Linked DNA regions of Daphnia pulex. The protein of the gene in region 2 binds, or shares a complex with, the protein of the main gene of each other region. Links are inferred from orthologs where the notes say so. Each region holds a gene or a part of one and is shown on either strand. Other genes may lie near its edges. The genes, in order: integrator complex subunit 9-like, integrator complex subunit 2-like and integrator complex subunit 12-like.

Region 1 (4,879 bases), about 2.7 Mb from region 2:
TTTTTATTTGACGTTTACATTTTTGAAAAAAAGAAGTGGAGCAATTTTCTCCCACGTCCTTCAAATGATTCAATTGCATCCCCACCCCCTTGCTCCGTCCATTTAATCTAATCTATACGCCACACACGCTCAGACAGAGGCAGACATGCCCAATGTTGTTGCCTAGACACTCCCGAGCGCCAGCTGCATTATCGCTTATAACCTTTTGAACCGGCTGTAAAATAAATTCTTAACACACAGCGAGAGGGGGGGGGGAAGAAAAATTATATATATTTTGAATAGAAAAAAAAAGACTTTGAACTCTCTCTCTCCCCTCCCTTCTATCCGTTGATGGTTAAAACGGTCAGACGAGGTCACACACAACAAACACGTCGTAAGCAAGCTGCTGCTGCTTCCTCTTCTTTCTCTCTTCGAGTGTTGAGAGACACATCTCACATTGCTCCGGCTTCAATTTCTTGTAAGAGCCTTTAGCAGCAGCAGCTATCGTGTGTTGGAACACACATTTTTCTTCTTCTCTCGATAGATCACTCAACCGACCCAGCAGAGTATCGACATTTTTTTCTCTTTTTTCATTTCTGGTGAATAAGGGGGGAGGCCCCTGAGCTCTTTTGATTTCCCAACTACACTACTGTACTACTACTACCACCTACCCCATGGTATATATCAAACACACACACAAAAGCTTCTCTTTTTCATTCTTTTCTTTCCTTTTTGATATGGGAAAAGGGCCAGCAGCCGGGCAGATGTTTCCCATTTTGTAAAAGACCGTTCACTCTCTCCTTTTTGCTCACGTATATATATATATATACAGAGGAAAAATGCTCTCCCCTCTTTGGGTATAGTCGTTGGTCGTCTCCGACACCCATTTGTGATGTGTGTGTTGTGTTCCCCCCCATCGTATTTCATTTCCCTTTCTCTCCCCCTTAGTAACCGTGTCTGCTCTTATTTCTCTCTTCTCACACAGACACACAGCAGACTCCCGACCAAACACAGAGGCCAAGCCGATCATCGACCATGTTGTTTTCTTCATTTTCTTGCTTGGGTCTTGCTTATTGGATTCTTTTTATTGTGTGTGTGTTTTTTTTCTTCTGTTGTTGCAGGGGCATCAAATATATATAGGAGGCATTTCGACACCGGAAGCTGAAGGAGCATCACGTATCATCTCTCGCTGTGGAGAAAATGGTTCAATGACTTGGCCTTATCATTCACCAGTCCGGTTAGATTTTTTGGAAAGTTCCTTTTTCTTGGTTGCACCAAGATTTAGTTGAACACCCTACTGGACGGAGAACTGATAAGGGCGTGTCTTGCAACACAATCGACGAAATGGACGAATTTTTTTTTTTTGACAACCAACAAAACTGTATAGAGTGATATAATATTCTTTCGTTCTTAATCATTGACAAAATGTGTGTAACTTTGTAGCTTCTTTTGTTTCGCTTGTTTGTTGCGTATCCGATGGCGTTATTCAATACACATTCTCAAAAGCGAATATGTGATTCAGATTTCAATTTTTATTCTAGATTTATTTCTTTCGCGTTCCGGCGCTCTTATTTAAAAAAATAAAATAATAAAATAAAATGAACCTATCTTTTCAAGTTGAAAAATGACAACGCTGCATTGGGTTTTCAAATGTTAGTCTGCTAGCAGCTCGTGTAGTAAGTACGAACCGGACAAACAAACAAGTCTGGATCTGTCTGTCATATACCGAGTTTGAAATAAAAATTCTTTCTTGTCACTTTTCAGATAAAACGCGCCCACAACATGAAAATCGTAAGCATTTTAATATTTTCCTTTCACCGAAATGGAGCGGTCTGATAAACACAGTTTCTGTTTACATAGTACAGTCTGGGCGCCAACCCAAATAAACCCTGCAACATCTTGAATTTCAAAGGCGTTTCGCTGATGCTCGATTGTGGGCTGGATATCAACTCGGCCCTTCATTTTCTACCTCTGCCTCTCGTTGCCAGCAAAAGGCTCTCAAATTTACCAAACTGGATCCCGAGAGACACACAGGATGCTGCACTTCTTGATGGAGTGAGTTAGATTTGATCTCTTCTCTATCTTCGTGTCATTTCAAATGTTCATTTATCCTGTATAGGAACTGAAAGAATGTGAAAATCGAGTGTTGGTGGATGGCCCAATAGAGATACTGCCCCCTCAGTCAGACATTTTTGACATCTCTGATGTGGATACCATCTTGCTATCGAATCATGCCTGCATGCTGGCCCTGCCATTCATCACTGAAGAAACTGGCTTTAAAGGGAGGGTATATGCAACTGAACCCACCTTGCAGATTGGAAGGTATGCAACCTGCAATTGTTGTCACACAATATTGAGACTATATTGTATTCTTTGTCGTAGGCTCTACATGGAAGAACTGGTCAACTACTTGGAAAGGACTCCCAAAAATCAGCGAGCAAACAGATGGAAGCAAGTACTCCAGTCTCTTCCTCCTCCTCTCAGTGGGGCTCTGAGACCAAATGATTGGAAGAAAGTCTATTCCACAAAAGCCATCAATGCAGCCCTGGCAAAAGTTCGCATGGTTGGCTTCAACGAAAAAATTGTACGTCCTTTTTCGGATTTTTAAAAAATTCTTATGAAACAATATTAACCGACAACTTTTAGGATATCTGTGGTGCTTTAACTGTGATGGCCGTCAGTTCTGGATATTCCCTTGGTAGTTGCAATTGGATCATTCATTCCGGCTATGAGAAGATTGCGTACGTGAGCGCTTCATCTACTCTCACGACCCACCCAAGGTTCTATAAGCTTAATTAGTGTTACTTTTTTAACAAATTAATTTTATACCATTTTTTCCATATACAGGCCGATGGATCAAGTTGCCCTTAGAAATGCCGATCTCTTGATCTTGACAGCGTTGACTCAGACCCCCGTGGCCAATCCAGATTCAATGTTGGGCGAATTCTGCATGGCAGTTGGTAATTCAAATAGTAAAATTCTATTAAATTACATTAGAAAAAAACTAACAATGTTTCCTTAAACCTTTTGCAGCATCCACGTTACGATCGGGCGGATCTTGCCTAGTCCCATGTCACCCTTCCGGCCTTCTTTACGATCTGTTCGAATGTCTCTCAGTTCATTTAGACAATATTGGTCTTAGTCAGATTCCGCTGTTTTTCTTCTCTCCCGTGGCCGAAACTTCCTTGGCTTATTCCAACATCTTCGCTGAATGGTTCGGCTTGTCACATTTATTATTTTTCCGAAAATGTTTAGTCAACTTATCATCCTCATTTCATATAGGTTATCTTCAGGCAAGCAGAGCAAAGTTTATCTCCCAGAAGAACCATTTCCTCACGCCCATCTCATCAAAAATGGTCGACTGAAACACTTCCCAAGCCTGCATGCCGAAGGATTCACCAACGAGTACAGACAGCCATGTGTCGTATTTTGCGGTCATCCTTCCCTTCGTTTTGGCAATGTAGTTCACTTCATAGAGTTATGGGGCAGTCATAGCAACCACAGTATCGTCTTCGTTGAACCCGATTTCCCTTACCTGGAAGCGCTGGCCCCCTATCAACCACTGACCATGAAAATCGTTCACTGTCCCATTGACACGAGTTTGAGCTTCACTCAAGCCAATAAACTGATACGCGATCTCAAGCCAGGAAACTTACTCGTTCCAGACGTTTACCTCCACCCGCCAGTGTCGGCTCCCTTAAGATCAGACTTGGTTATTCAGGGTAAGTCTTCGATCGATTCCTGTTGAACTGGATCTAGTTGGCCAGTCAGTTAACCTTATTCTTTCTTTTTTTTTAGAATTGGATCCACCAGCATTGGGTATGAAGTCCTACCAGGTGTTACAGTTACCAATTAAGAGGAAGCAGGAAAAAGTGCATCTTGATCCGGCCCTGGCCTCTCGTCTCGAACCCATCCAATTTAAAACGGGCCTTTCAGCTTCTACTCTGACTGGAAAATTGGATGCTCGTGACAATAAATTTACTCTGAAAGTGAGTCCTTTGTTCTCCTAACTTGTGACAGTGTCTCATAGCTTTTTACTATTTTCAAATCTAGGTATTAAACGAAGAGGAAGGAGGCACATTGTACAGTGCGTCGGAGAGAATGCTGCCTCGCCATCCTTGGGGCTCTGTTGACACAACTCAACTGTTGCATTTGCTCAGTCAACATGGTTTGCTAGATGCTCGGGTCGAAGACACTCCTCGAGGCGTCGTCATTCACTTGGTACTACCCCGTATATCATTTTGTCATTTCAAGAGTCGTAATAACTTGTCTTTCCAATTTTGTCTTTTAGCCAAGAGAGGACACTGTGATTCAACTGGAAGGTTCCAACACTCATGTTTACTGCCATGATGAAGCGCTACGGAGAACTTTGAGGGATATTTTGCTACAATGTCTACCTTGTTTGTGAACATCACCATAAATACATTCGAATTTTTCTCTTATAAACCCAAGCATAAAAATAAATAGCAGGATAAATAATTGTAGAAAGTGACGGTCGTGAAAGATGTATCGACGGTTTACCCGTGTGAACAAAGAAATTCTGACGAAAGAACTGGGTTAAATTTGGAGTGCATTGAGCTTAACGACGTCCCTAGAATTTTAATTTAAAAATACTAAAATTTGTAAAGGAATCACGCGGAATTCTATTCGGGAAATGACGTCTATAGATTATAATTTTTCTTTTTTAAAAATATTCCAAAGTTATCACGTTGTGAAATGGCAATGCTGCATTTTATATCGTCTGTTGCATTGTAATTTCTGTGAATTTCATTTGCATATCATTCAGTTTACTAGACTAACCCATATTACTAGGGACGACAGTAGTTGCTCTCGTCATCGAACTAATATTGACTTTGTTTTGAAGTATGTAGCCTCAATTTGAGGAGAATTGCTGAGTTAA
Region 2 (4,879 bases):
AAAGACTACCACCACCACCACCACGACAACTGTCGCCAGCCGGACAGTTACTGCCACTCCAGCCAAGAGAGTAACGCCAGCTGTGAACGGAGTAGCCAAGACGGCATCTCCGGCCAAACCGGCCACGAGCACCTCGTCTTCTCGCACCACCGCTTCGACCACATCTGCGACACCACCGCGTCGTATCGTTTCCGCTCCTGCTAAAGCTTCCAGTGCCACTAGTCGCCCAGCCGCCACCGCAGCCACCAAATCTGCTGGTACTTATTACCTTTTGCTTGTATACATTCTTCCGCTGGATTTTCACATGTCAATTCTTTTTTGAAATGTGCAGCAGCTACTACCAACGGCGACATCAAGCCGAAACCCGCTGCTACGTCAACGACTCGCACTACGGCCAAGCCCATCGTTAATGGCACAGCTACGAAATCCGCTACTCCCAGACCCACCGCAGCCAGCACCAAACTCGCAGCCACTAAACCCGCAACAACCACCGCCACCCCTACTCGCCCGGCGCCATTGAAGAGTAAGGTTTCATTGTTTTTGCGGTTGTTGTTGTTGTTGTTCAGAGCGTGTTGGAAAAGAAGGGCGTTTTGATTGACTTTTAACATCTACCTTTTATCTCTCTCCTAAATTACATTTTCTTATTTTTTTATTTCTTCCCAGGTGTTGCAAGCAGAACGGCCACGCCTGGTAAGCCGATCGCAAAGACGACGACATCAACTTCCAAGCTTGGTGCAACCAAAACTGGTGCGGCAACCAAATCGCCGGGAGCAGCCAAATCAGCATCCAGCGCTTCGGCTGCTCCCGAAGTAACCACAGCAACACCCGAAGTCGCTCTTGCTCCTGCACCGGCCGACGCGGAATAATGTAGAGCAGGTTAAAAAGCATCAGAATTAAGCGTGTTTTAAATGTGAAAGGTTCGAGATAACCAAGGAGATTTAAAAAAATAGAGAGGGAAAAAGGAAATAACGAGTGGAAAACGCCCAACCATATTATAATAACTCCCTACCGCCGCCTGCTATGTATACCGCCCGTCTCTCTTTCATTCGCTCATGATTCATCGTCTGCCAGCTTTTTAAACGTTCTCGTTTTTTCTTTTAAATGTTTTTTTTTCCTCCATCGTTTGCAATTTTCTAAAAGACAATAAAGGTAAAAAAAAAATAATAATTAAAGATTTCAAAATAGTTGAATCCGAGCCGAAAGAGAGAAGAAACGAACAATTTAAGTACTAGGGAAATAAAGAAATGGAGAATGGCTACGTGAAAACTTTGTTGCGATTGCGGGCCCCTGTAAAGATATCAAGGAAGAGATTCAAGAATCATCAATCATTTTTCCCCCCTGCGTGTGAGTGAGCGTGTGTGAAAGCGTGTGCGTGAGTTAATGTACTGCTATCCCCCCTCCCCCCACATTTCTTTCTTGGCAACACACAACATCAACAATATGTAAAAGGATTGTGAAAACCTCTTTTACTTCCCCCTAATGGCTAAATATTACTTTCGCACGCCCTGCACTCCCACCCACCAACGCTCTTTCGGCTAATAATCACCTATTTTATTATTAACTGTATTCGTGTCAAAAGTCATGAAAGAAAATGTCGTCCCTTCGTTTTTTTTCCCCCTCTTGCTCGATTCCATAATTTCTTTTTGTTTTCTCTTTTGTGTTTGTGGGGTTTCATGATTTTCAATTTCAAATTTGCCGCGCACAGCAACGGTTTGCCTTTGCTTTTATTTTTCTCTCCCCCCCCCCCCTATTTTCTGTTGTTGATAGTCACGCCAATGTCCAGCCGAGGTGATTGTGTCCACTGCTGCTTCTTCCTACTCTCTTCTCTACTTCTTACAACCACATGGTAATTAATTTAAAATATTGATTGCGCTGATTTTTTTTTTAATTGGATGAGTTTCGTTTTTATACGTTCAAAGATTGTGTTTCCTTTCCGTCTTCAACTTTTGGATGCAATACCCTCCACATTTTGTAATCCATTACGTGAGAAGTGCGAGTTACAACATTGTAGCGCAAATAAATGAAAAGCAATGGGGAGAAACGTCTTTTTAAATCATTATAAGTTTATAACTTGCTATTATCATGTCCGTTGAGTGCAACATTAGTGCCCCTTGTAGCTTTGATCATCTTGTCATCTGCTCAGTCGGATGACGTGAGTCGTGAGCTATCCGAGCAATCCGGATTCGCCCTAATAAGGCGCCGTGTAAACTGTAGTTCCTACGTTTTGCCGCTAGAGGATCAGAATCAGTTTCGTCTGCTCGTTGCCTTGACAACACAATGGTTCACATGAAAATCAAGCTTGCTATGTAAACCACTCCATGGCGATTTGTTGATTGATTGTGGTCTTAAAAACACAATATTTTGCCAATAAAATGCCGATGCCACCGATTCGTTCCGTTTCGAAACGAAATGTTTCGCCTCGTGTGTTTCAAGCTCTACAGAATTTGGATGTAGATAACTTAGCGGAATGTAACGAAGAAGAAATTCGAGCTGTTATGCCATGTTTGGCTAGAATGAGTTTGATAGGCCCACTGGACCAATCTAGTGAATGCACCAAATCTCGAAGAATGGTCTTCCAAATATTATCCGGTCGTGAAATTGTCAATTCCATAGTTGGGTTACTTTCAATTGATTTCCATGCTCTTGAGGTTGACGTCAAGAAAGAACAAATGCTACGGTATTTTCTTTACTATTGTTATGACTACTTCTTTTATTTTTAATCAAAATTTGTATTGCAGTCAAAAGCTTGGTAATCAAACTGAAGACTCTGTCTTGATTCAGTCACTATCAAACAGTTATGCACTGGAATTTGAAAGGAGTGATCCAACGAGGAAATTAAGGCTGTTTCTCAGTGAGCTCCTCACACTCATGGCACAAGTAGATTCCTCATAAAGCATTCATTTTCCACAATATTATTGTTTCTTATTTTAATTTCTAGAGCAAAGAAATCAGACCAGAAACCACATACAAAAGCAGTGAACTGTTGGACCAGGAAATCTATTTTGATGAAGTAGCTGATGTGCTGTGTGTTGCTTTAGCAGAGCTGACAATTCTGCTACCTATAACAGAAGTTGCAGAAGCTCTCTTGAGAACACTTCACGGTCCATCTTTCATATGTCGAATAGTGGCTAATATGCCTGATACTTTCAATGAAGGTAATATTTTTCCAAAGTGTGGTTTGAACTATATTTTAGAAGTAGTTTGTTTCAAGTTTGCCAGAGTTTGATTAGCAATGGTGAAAGATATGAAGAAGAATCCTTCCTTGGACGGGCCAGATTAGAAACACTTAGATCCCTCTGCAGGATGTGCCCAAATCAGATTTTGATGATCCAACTTAAATGTGTAAGTTTTTTTATCTCTGACAAAGCTTTGTTCTCTTTAGTTTAAGGTTTTTTTCCCTATCAGGTGGAGATGTGCAGAATGCCGGCTCTGGCTGTTTTACTTAGTTTGGACTATGCATCCTGCCATAAAATGATCAAAACAGATAAAATTGAAACCCAGTTGGGAGATGTCGTACCGTTTATCTCTGGTCTACTTTTGGGTGGAGATGCAAATATCCGCACCTGGTTTTCTCTTTTCATTAGGAATGGACAAAAGGTTTAGCTTTCTTTAAATGTACTTTATGTTAGCCGTCAACGTATTTAACTCTATTTCCTTATTTTACAGCGACATGATCGTGCCACTGCGTTACATACTTTACGCCAAGAGCTACTGAGAAGTTTGCAGTCGTTTGTTCAAATGGCTGCTGATGAGCCGTTACCTGACCGTTGTGCTGTTGATGCGTCGGCCCTTTTACGACTGTATTGTGCTTTAAAAGTAATTCTATTCATTCCAATAATAGTATGTTAGATAGGGGTGTTGGAATTGAAAAACTAACCCTTTATTTCAATATTTGTAGGGTATAGCAGGAATGAAGTTGTACGACGAAGAAGGTGGGCTTTTATTGCAATTAATTACCTGTCGTCCACCGCCAACCGAAGCTGGCCTTCGTTTCGTTGCCCTGGGACTCTGCATGCTGATGGCTTGTCCATCTCTCATCGCCTTGCCCGACCAAGAACAAAGCGGTTTTCGATGGGTATAATCGCAAGTTATTCGTAATTAATATCAGTTGTTATATTTTGTGATTTTAGGTGAAATGGTTGGTGAGGGAAGAAAGCTACTTTGAAAAATCGCCAGCGACTTCCTCTGGCAAGTGCATGGAAACAGCGAGGAGCAGTTTTGGAGAGATGTTATTACTAATGGCTATCCACTTTCACAGTGGACAGTTGAGCGCAGTTTGCGACCTGGTCTGCTCAACGCTTGGCATGAGGCTTTTACTCCGGCCCGCTTCTACTGCTCGTATGAAGGTGGCATTTACTCAAGACATATTCCCAGAGCAGGTTTGAGCTTTGTTAACAAGTTTATTTGGTCAAAATCTTATCCTTTTAAATTCGAATGTTAGGTGGTGACATCTCACGCTGTCCGAGTGCCCGTCACTCCCGGTTTGAATGCAGACGTTGCAGGATTCCTTCCAGTTCACTGCATCTATCAGTTGTTGAAAAGCCGAGCTTTTAGTAAGCATCGCGTGCCGATCAAGACCTGGGTTTACCGCCAGCTTTGCGAGAGCCGTCCTCCATTGCATCCACTTCTTCCTAGTTTGGTCGAAGTTTATGTTAGCTCGATCCTGACGTTATCTCCATCGAAAAACCAACAGAATCAATCGGGCGTAGCTGGTTCCATTGACATTGGCCATGACCCAATCAGCGAAGAGGAAATTCGAGTTGTGTTCGCCAACAGTTTTTCCAGGAACGTTCGCCGAGCTAGCACAGACGGGCAGGAGCATTCCGTCACGGCCCAGCTTTTACTTTTATATTACGCTCTACTGTATGAGGATACTCGT
Region 3 (4,390 bases), on a different chromosome or scaffold from region 2:
GACTCTGGACGTCAAGAAATCATCGTACAAGAAACTCTCAAAGTTTTTAGATACTCTAAAGAAGGAAGGAGTGATTGATGTCAAAGAATTTACCAAAGGCGTCGAGAGCATTTCTGCCATTCGATACGACCACGAAAGGGTCCGTAGTTTCCGTGTGGATATCAACGACAAACCTGAACCGGCACCTGCGCTTGAAAAGGTCGGAGAAATCGACAAATATCTTCCTCCTGTCATAACCCGGATGTACGCTATCAATGCCGTTTGTTTGCCGCTTTTCGCTGGAACTTATCGGTCAGTGTTGATTAACCAATGCCTTACATCCTGTGTCTAATATTTGAGGGTTTTTTTTTAATAGAAAGGGGACAAATTTGACGACGCAACAGATCCGCCAATACTTGACTGAATACGTCCGAGTGAACCAGCTACAAAATGCGACCAATCCTAGGTTTAAATAGATAGATTTCTTTCTTTCTAAAATGTTGTAGAAACTAAATTTATCACAATTGCTCGTGCAGTCAGGTGACGTTGGATCCCATTTTGAGTGACGTCATGTTAAAAAAAGGCGAAGTAGCAGCTTCGCTTAGCTGGGAAGAGCTAATGAGCCGCTGTCAAGCTAAACTTTCAACAGTTTATGAAATGATCTTCCCAAACCAGTCGGCTCCCGTCATCGTGAAAGGAGAGTTGGAGCCAGTCGAGATTACCACGGCATCGAGAGCTGGCAACAAGAAGGTCACCCTCATCAGTGGCCTTGAGACGTACAGGATCGACTTGGACGAATTTGCTCGAAGGTACCAATGGTCTCACATTCTTTAGGTGAAGGGGTCTCTTAAAAGTAAGCGAATTTCTCTTGTCTGTTTGAATAGGTGCCAAGTAGGCGTGGCGGCTAGCACAACAATAACCAGCTCTCCAGCTAAAAAGGGTCAATTGGTGTTGGTACAGGGTAACCAAATTAGTTTTGTCGGAAATTTGCTCATCGATGAATACGGAATTCCCAAGTAATTTTTTTAAAACTAAATAATAAAATAATAGAAATAAATATTAACTTTACAAAATTTTATCTTTTTTCTAACAGGCAATTTATCCAAGGATTCGACTTAAAAAAAGCCAAAAATAAAAAATAATTTTTGCGAAATTGTATAAGAGAATGGAATCCGAAATAAACAACACGGAAAGATGGTGCCTGTTTAATATACAACCGACTATTTTCCAGGTTTCCGTTTTTCTTGCAATTTTGTGGCAGCCCGTTTCTTAATGTTCTGCAGTCGTTTATCGGCGTTAATGAGGGATGTGTTGCCAATAGTATTTCCAGATGAAGAATTGCTACTGCTGCTCGATGAGCTTGTTGACTTACTTGAAGCACCGCTGCCGCCATTTGGCTTCTGGGGCAAGGTTTGCTGTTTGCTGAAGTTAACTACCAGGCCGGCTGAGCTTTTGCCACTCACGGAACTCGGAGAGTCAGATCGACTTTTATAGAAAGTGATGGGACTTTCCCTACTGCTACTTGATTTAGGTCGACTAGCGGTCTTTTTCATTGACTTGCTACAATCGGAACAGAAAAAGACGGATCGAGGATCGTTAACTTCGGCGTCGCTAATATTCGGTTGGTGGCATTCCTGGTGATAAAGGCCGTGACATTCTTGGCACTCTACGAGCTGATTTCCAGAAGTAACATCCAGGCCACTGTTACGTAGAGAGAGGAAAAAGTTTGAATATTTTTATCACTATAACAAACAATAAGACTTACGTGCAAATAACACAGTGAAGATCCATAATTTCCTGAGCCAAGTCATCGGCGTCATTCAAAGAATCGAGGTCGTCGCTTTTTCGAGCCACACTTGGAGATCTCGAATTTCGTGGTGAACTAGGAAAATATAATTTTAAAAATAAAATTAATAAATAAGAAATCAAATGGAAAACACCTCCCAGCTGGTGAGCCAGGCTGTGAAGAACGAGGGGAATCTTTGAATTTCTTTGGAACAACTTCATCATCATTGAACATGTTATCATGTTTTCGCTTAGATTCCTTGTTTTTCTCAAGAACACTGTAATACAAGACTTAGTTAACTAGTATAAAGTTTATCCAAAACTGTGGATACATACCTAGAAGATGGAGATGAAGGTTGTGAAGATCGAGGAGATTCCTTCCTTCTTTTACTGAGAGGAACATCTTCATCAATGAAGAAGTCACTTTTCTTCTTTGTTTCCTGTAATGCAAGAGATTTAATCACAACAGCATAAAAAAAGTAAAAATATATTACCCTTTTGATCATCGTCAAAGGTGGTGGCAACTTGCTGACAGAAGAGTTGGTTTCATTCTTTAATCTTATGGCTTCATCCAACATAGATTTCAATTGGTCACCAGAATCTTTAGCACTAGAATGCAAAAGACTGATAGCTTTAATTAAATATGGTTCAATAAGACCATCCATTATCAAACTTAGAATTTAAAATATTAATAATAGTAAATATTTGTAATGAGTTCTTGGAGCTATTTTCAAAGCAAACCATTCACGACAGCACTTCTGTCCGAATCAACATCAACTTCAAAATAAATGTGAAGAAGGAAATGGCCCTCTGGTGGCAGATTCAATAAATTGTGCAATTTTATTTTCAACACTTTCTTTTTATTAATGAACAAAAAGTATGCAAATTTTGACACCAAATTTAATTAGCGCGCAATGTGATGTCTTATTTTTAAAAAAGAAAGAAATTCGGAGTTTTATCAAGAATTCTATAAATAGCGATAAGACTCAGCGATGACACCTAGCGGTAGTTTGCTAACGACGGCTTAGATAGATTTGTGAGTCTAGCCAGAAAGACATTCATATTCTGCTTCTGCACAGACGGACTCGCTGTTGCTGGTTTGGTTTTAGCTTTCGACGAGTTATTTTTTAACACAAATTTTTAGGATCAAGATAGCCGTTGTTCTTCTCTCTGTGATTACCTCACAACGAAAAGGAGATGTGTAGTTGATTTGGTGATTATAGAATCCGTTTGAACGATCGAAAGGTTACTAGTTATATCACGTCTCCTGTGATGATTACATATCAAAGTGATGTTATATGTGCTGTATGAGGTTCAGTGAGGATGTGAGGCCTGTTGGACACGGTTGTCGATTGTTTTCAAGTCGAGATAAAAGACATTTAGTCACCTCACAAAAGGGTGTGAGGGGATTTTCTAATTGACGAACAAATTCTTGGATTGTGCAAGCTTCCACCCCATTTCGCTTGCTGCCATGTCTACATTTGAGCCAGCCGACAGGAACAGGTAAATCATTTAAATTCCTTTTTAATCTCTAACAGGTCATTTGTTTCATTCCTTCATCAGCCAGAAGTTGGTGTGAATTTCTCAGGAAATTGCTGTTTGTTTGTGTTGGCTGCAACCACCAGATAACTTCTAGCTTCTAAATTTAGGTTTCAAGTAAAACCCCCCAGCCAGACGGTAAAGAAAAAAAAGGAAGATTGTTTAGAAATGAGAGAATCAGTGATGCATCCTGCATCCTCGATTTAGAAAGTCTCTCATATTGCCAATGTCCTTATTCTCTCTCTCAATTAAATGACTGATTCCTGACAGATGATGATCATGAAGATTAACTCCTCTACTGCCTTTTTCTCTACATCCTGCTGGTCGGTCCCCTCTCTCCCGTATATCCGGAGAGTCATCTAAGATAGGCCATGGATTTTCCGAGGGGTGGGCGTCGTGATAAATATTTAGATGTTGTATGGGGCAAAGGGGTGGTGGTAGAAACAGGCGCCGGTGGTAGATGACGCAGCTGGAATCTCGGATGATCACATATGTGTTGGTTTTAATACGAGTGAAAATGGCGACGCATTCCCGAGAAAGAAAAAAGCCCCAAAAAATGATGAAGTCTGGGAGAGGATGTGATGGTGTGGTATAGGAAGTGAGTGCGTGTATGTTGTTTGGAAGGGGGGAACACAGTGGTGAGAGAAGAAGAGGGAAAAAACGCGAGAGAGAGAAAGAGAGAGAGAGAGCCATTTAGATATGGCCGGATGCGCTCGACTCGGCCCGCCCGGCAGCGGTATGTACGGCAGCAGCAGCAGAGAGTTGATTGGGTCTTCCTCCTTCTCCACCCTTCCTGAGAGTTGTCTACAACAACAACGACGACGACGACTCATTCGCACGAAGAAAATAAAGGTCTCGTGTGTGTGTCTCTTCTCATTTTGTATCGACGCCTCTTAGGTAAAATAAGGAGCCAACAGAACAGATTTTTTCCAACAAAAAATGTCAGCCCTTTTTTCTCGCTCCCAAGTTTGTTTCCCACTCGACTTGAAAAAGGAAAAAAGACACTGGCCGAGTAACACCTGCAATCCCAACCGTTTGCGGTTGGCAGACGCGGACCAACACCATCTGGCTCCGGCTAGATTCTTTA

The links.
Region 1: integrator complex subunit 2-like (region 2) and integrator complex subunit 9-like share a complex: the UniProt entries of both Homo sapiens proteins name them as parts of the integrator complex. The link is inferred for Daphnia pulex from reciprocal best matches to the Homo sapiens genes INTS2 and INTS9.
Region 3: integrator complex subunit 2-like (region 2) and integrator complex subunit 12-like share a complex: the UniProt entries of both Homo sapiens proteins name them as parts of the integrator complex. The link is inferred for Daphnia pulex from reciprocal best matches to the Homo sapiens genes INTS2 and INTS12.

Annotation. Positions count from the first base shown.
Region 1 is NC_060027.1:3,456,622-3,461,500, reverse strand, and holds integrator complex subunit 9-like, read left to right. Parts: upstream 1-1,623; 5' UTR 1,624-1,761; coding exon 1,762-1,770; intron 1,771-1,839; coding exon 1,840-2,034; intron 2,035-2,098; coding exon 2,099-2,301; intron 2,302-2,361; coding exon 2,362-2,563; exon of another isoform or gene 2,564-2,625; coding exon 2,626-2,759; exon of another isoform or gene 2,760-2,826; coding exon 2,827-2,939; intron 2,940-3,003; exon of another isoform or gene 3,004-3,012; coding exon 3,013-3,193; intron 3,194-3,261; coding exon 3,262-3,701; intron 3,702-3,777; coding exon 3,778-3,968; intron 3,969-4,032; coding exon 4,033-4,200; intron 4,201-4,270; coding exon 4,271-4,387; 3' UTR 4,388-4,425; downstream 4,426-4,879. UniProt on the Homo sapiens protein: Component of the integrator complex, a multiprotein complex that terminates RNA polymerase II (Pol II) transcription in the promoter-proximal region of genes.
Region 2 is NC_060027.1:806,407-811,285, reverse strand, and holds the start of integrator complex subunit 2-like, read left to right. Parts: upstream 1-2,257; 5' UTR 2,258-2,372; coding exon 2,373-2,677; intron 2,678-2,738; coding exon 2,739-2,877; intron 2,878-2,938; coding exon 2,939-3,155; intron 3,156-3,211; coding exon 3,212-3,342; intron 3,343-3,405; coding exon 3,406-3,597; intron 3,598-3,666; coding exon 3,667-3,816; intron 3,817-3,898; coding exon 3,899-4,075; intron 4,076-4,130; coding exon 4,131-4,379; intron 4,380-4,441; coding exon 4,442-4,879. Other genes in the region: microtubule-associated protein 4-like, read left to right, coding at 1-257, 332-523, 664-866. UniProt on the Homo sapiens protein: Component of the integrator complex, a multiprotein complex that terminates RNA polymerase II (Pol II) transcription in the promoter-proximal region of genes.
Region 3 is NC_060026.1:13,198,053-13,202,442, forward strand, and holds integrator complex subunit 12-like, read right to left. Parts: upstream 2,552-4,390; 5' UTR 2,430-2,551; coding exon 2,259-2,429; intron 2,205-2,258; coding exon 2,101-2,204; intron 2,043-2,100; coding exon 1,920-2,042; intron 1,862-1,919; coding exon 1,745-1,861; intron 1,681-1,744; coding exon 1,200-1,680; 3' UTR 1,122-1,199; coding exon of another isoform or gene 1,073-1,121; 3' UTR 1,039-1,072; downstream 1-1,038. Other genes in the region: eukaryotic translation initiation factor 2D-like, read left to right, coding at 1-291, 356-445, 516-788, 864-995, 1,073-1,121; adapter molecule Crk-like, read left to right, coding at 3,236-3,267. UniProt on the Homo sapiens protein: Component of the integrator complex, a multiprotein complex that terminates RNA polymerase II (Pol II) transcription in the promoter-proximal region of genes.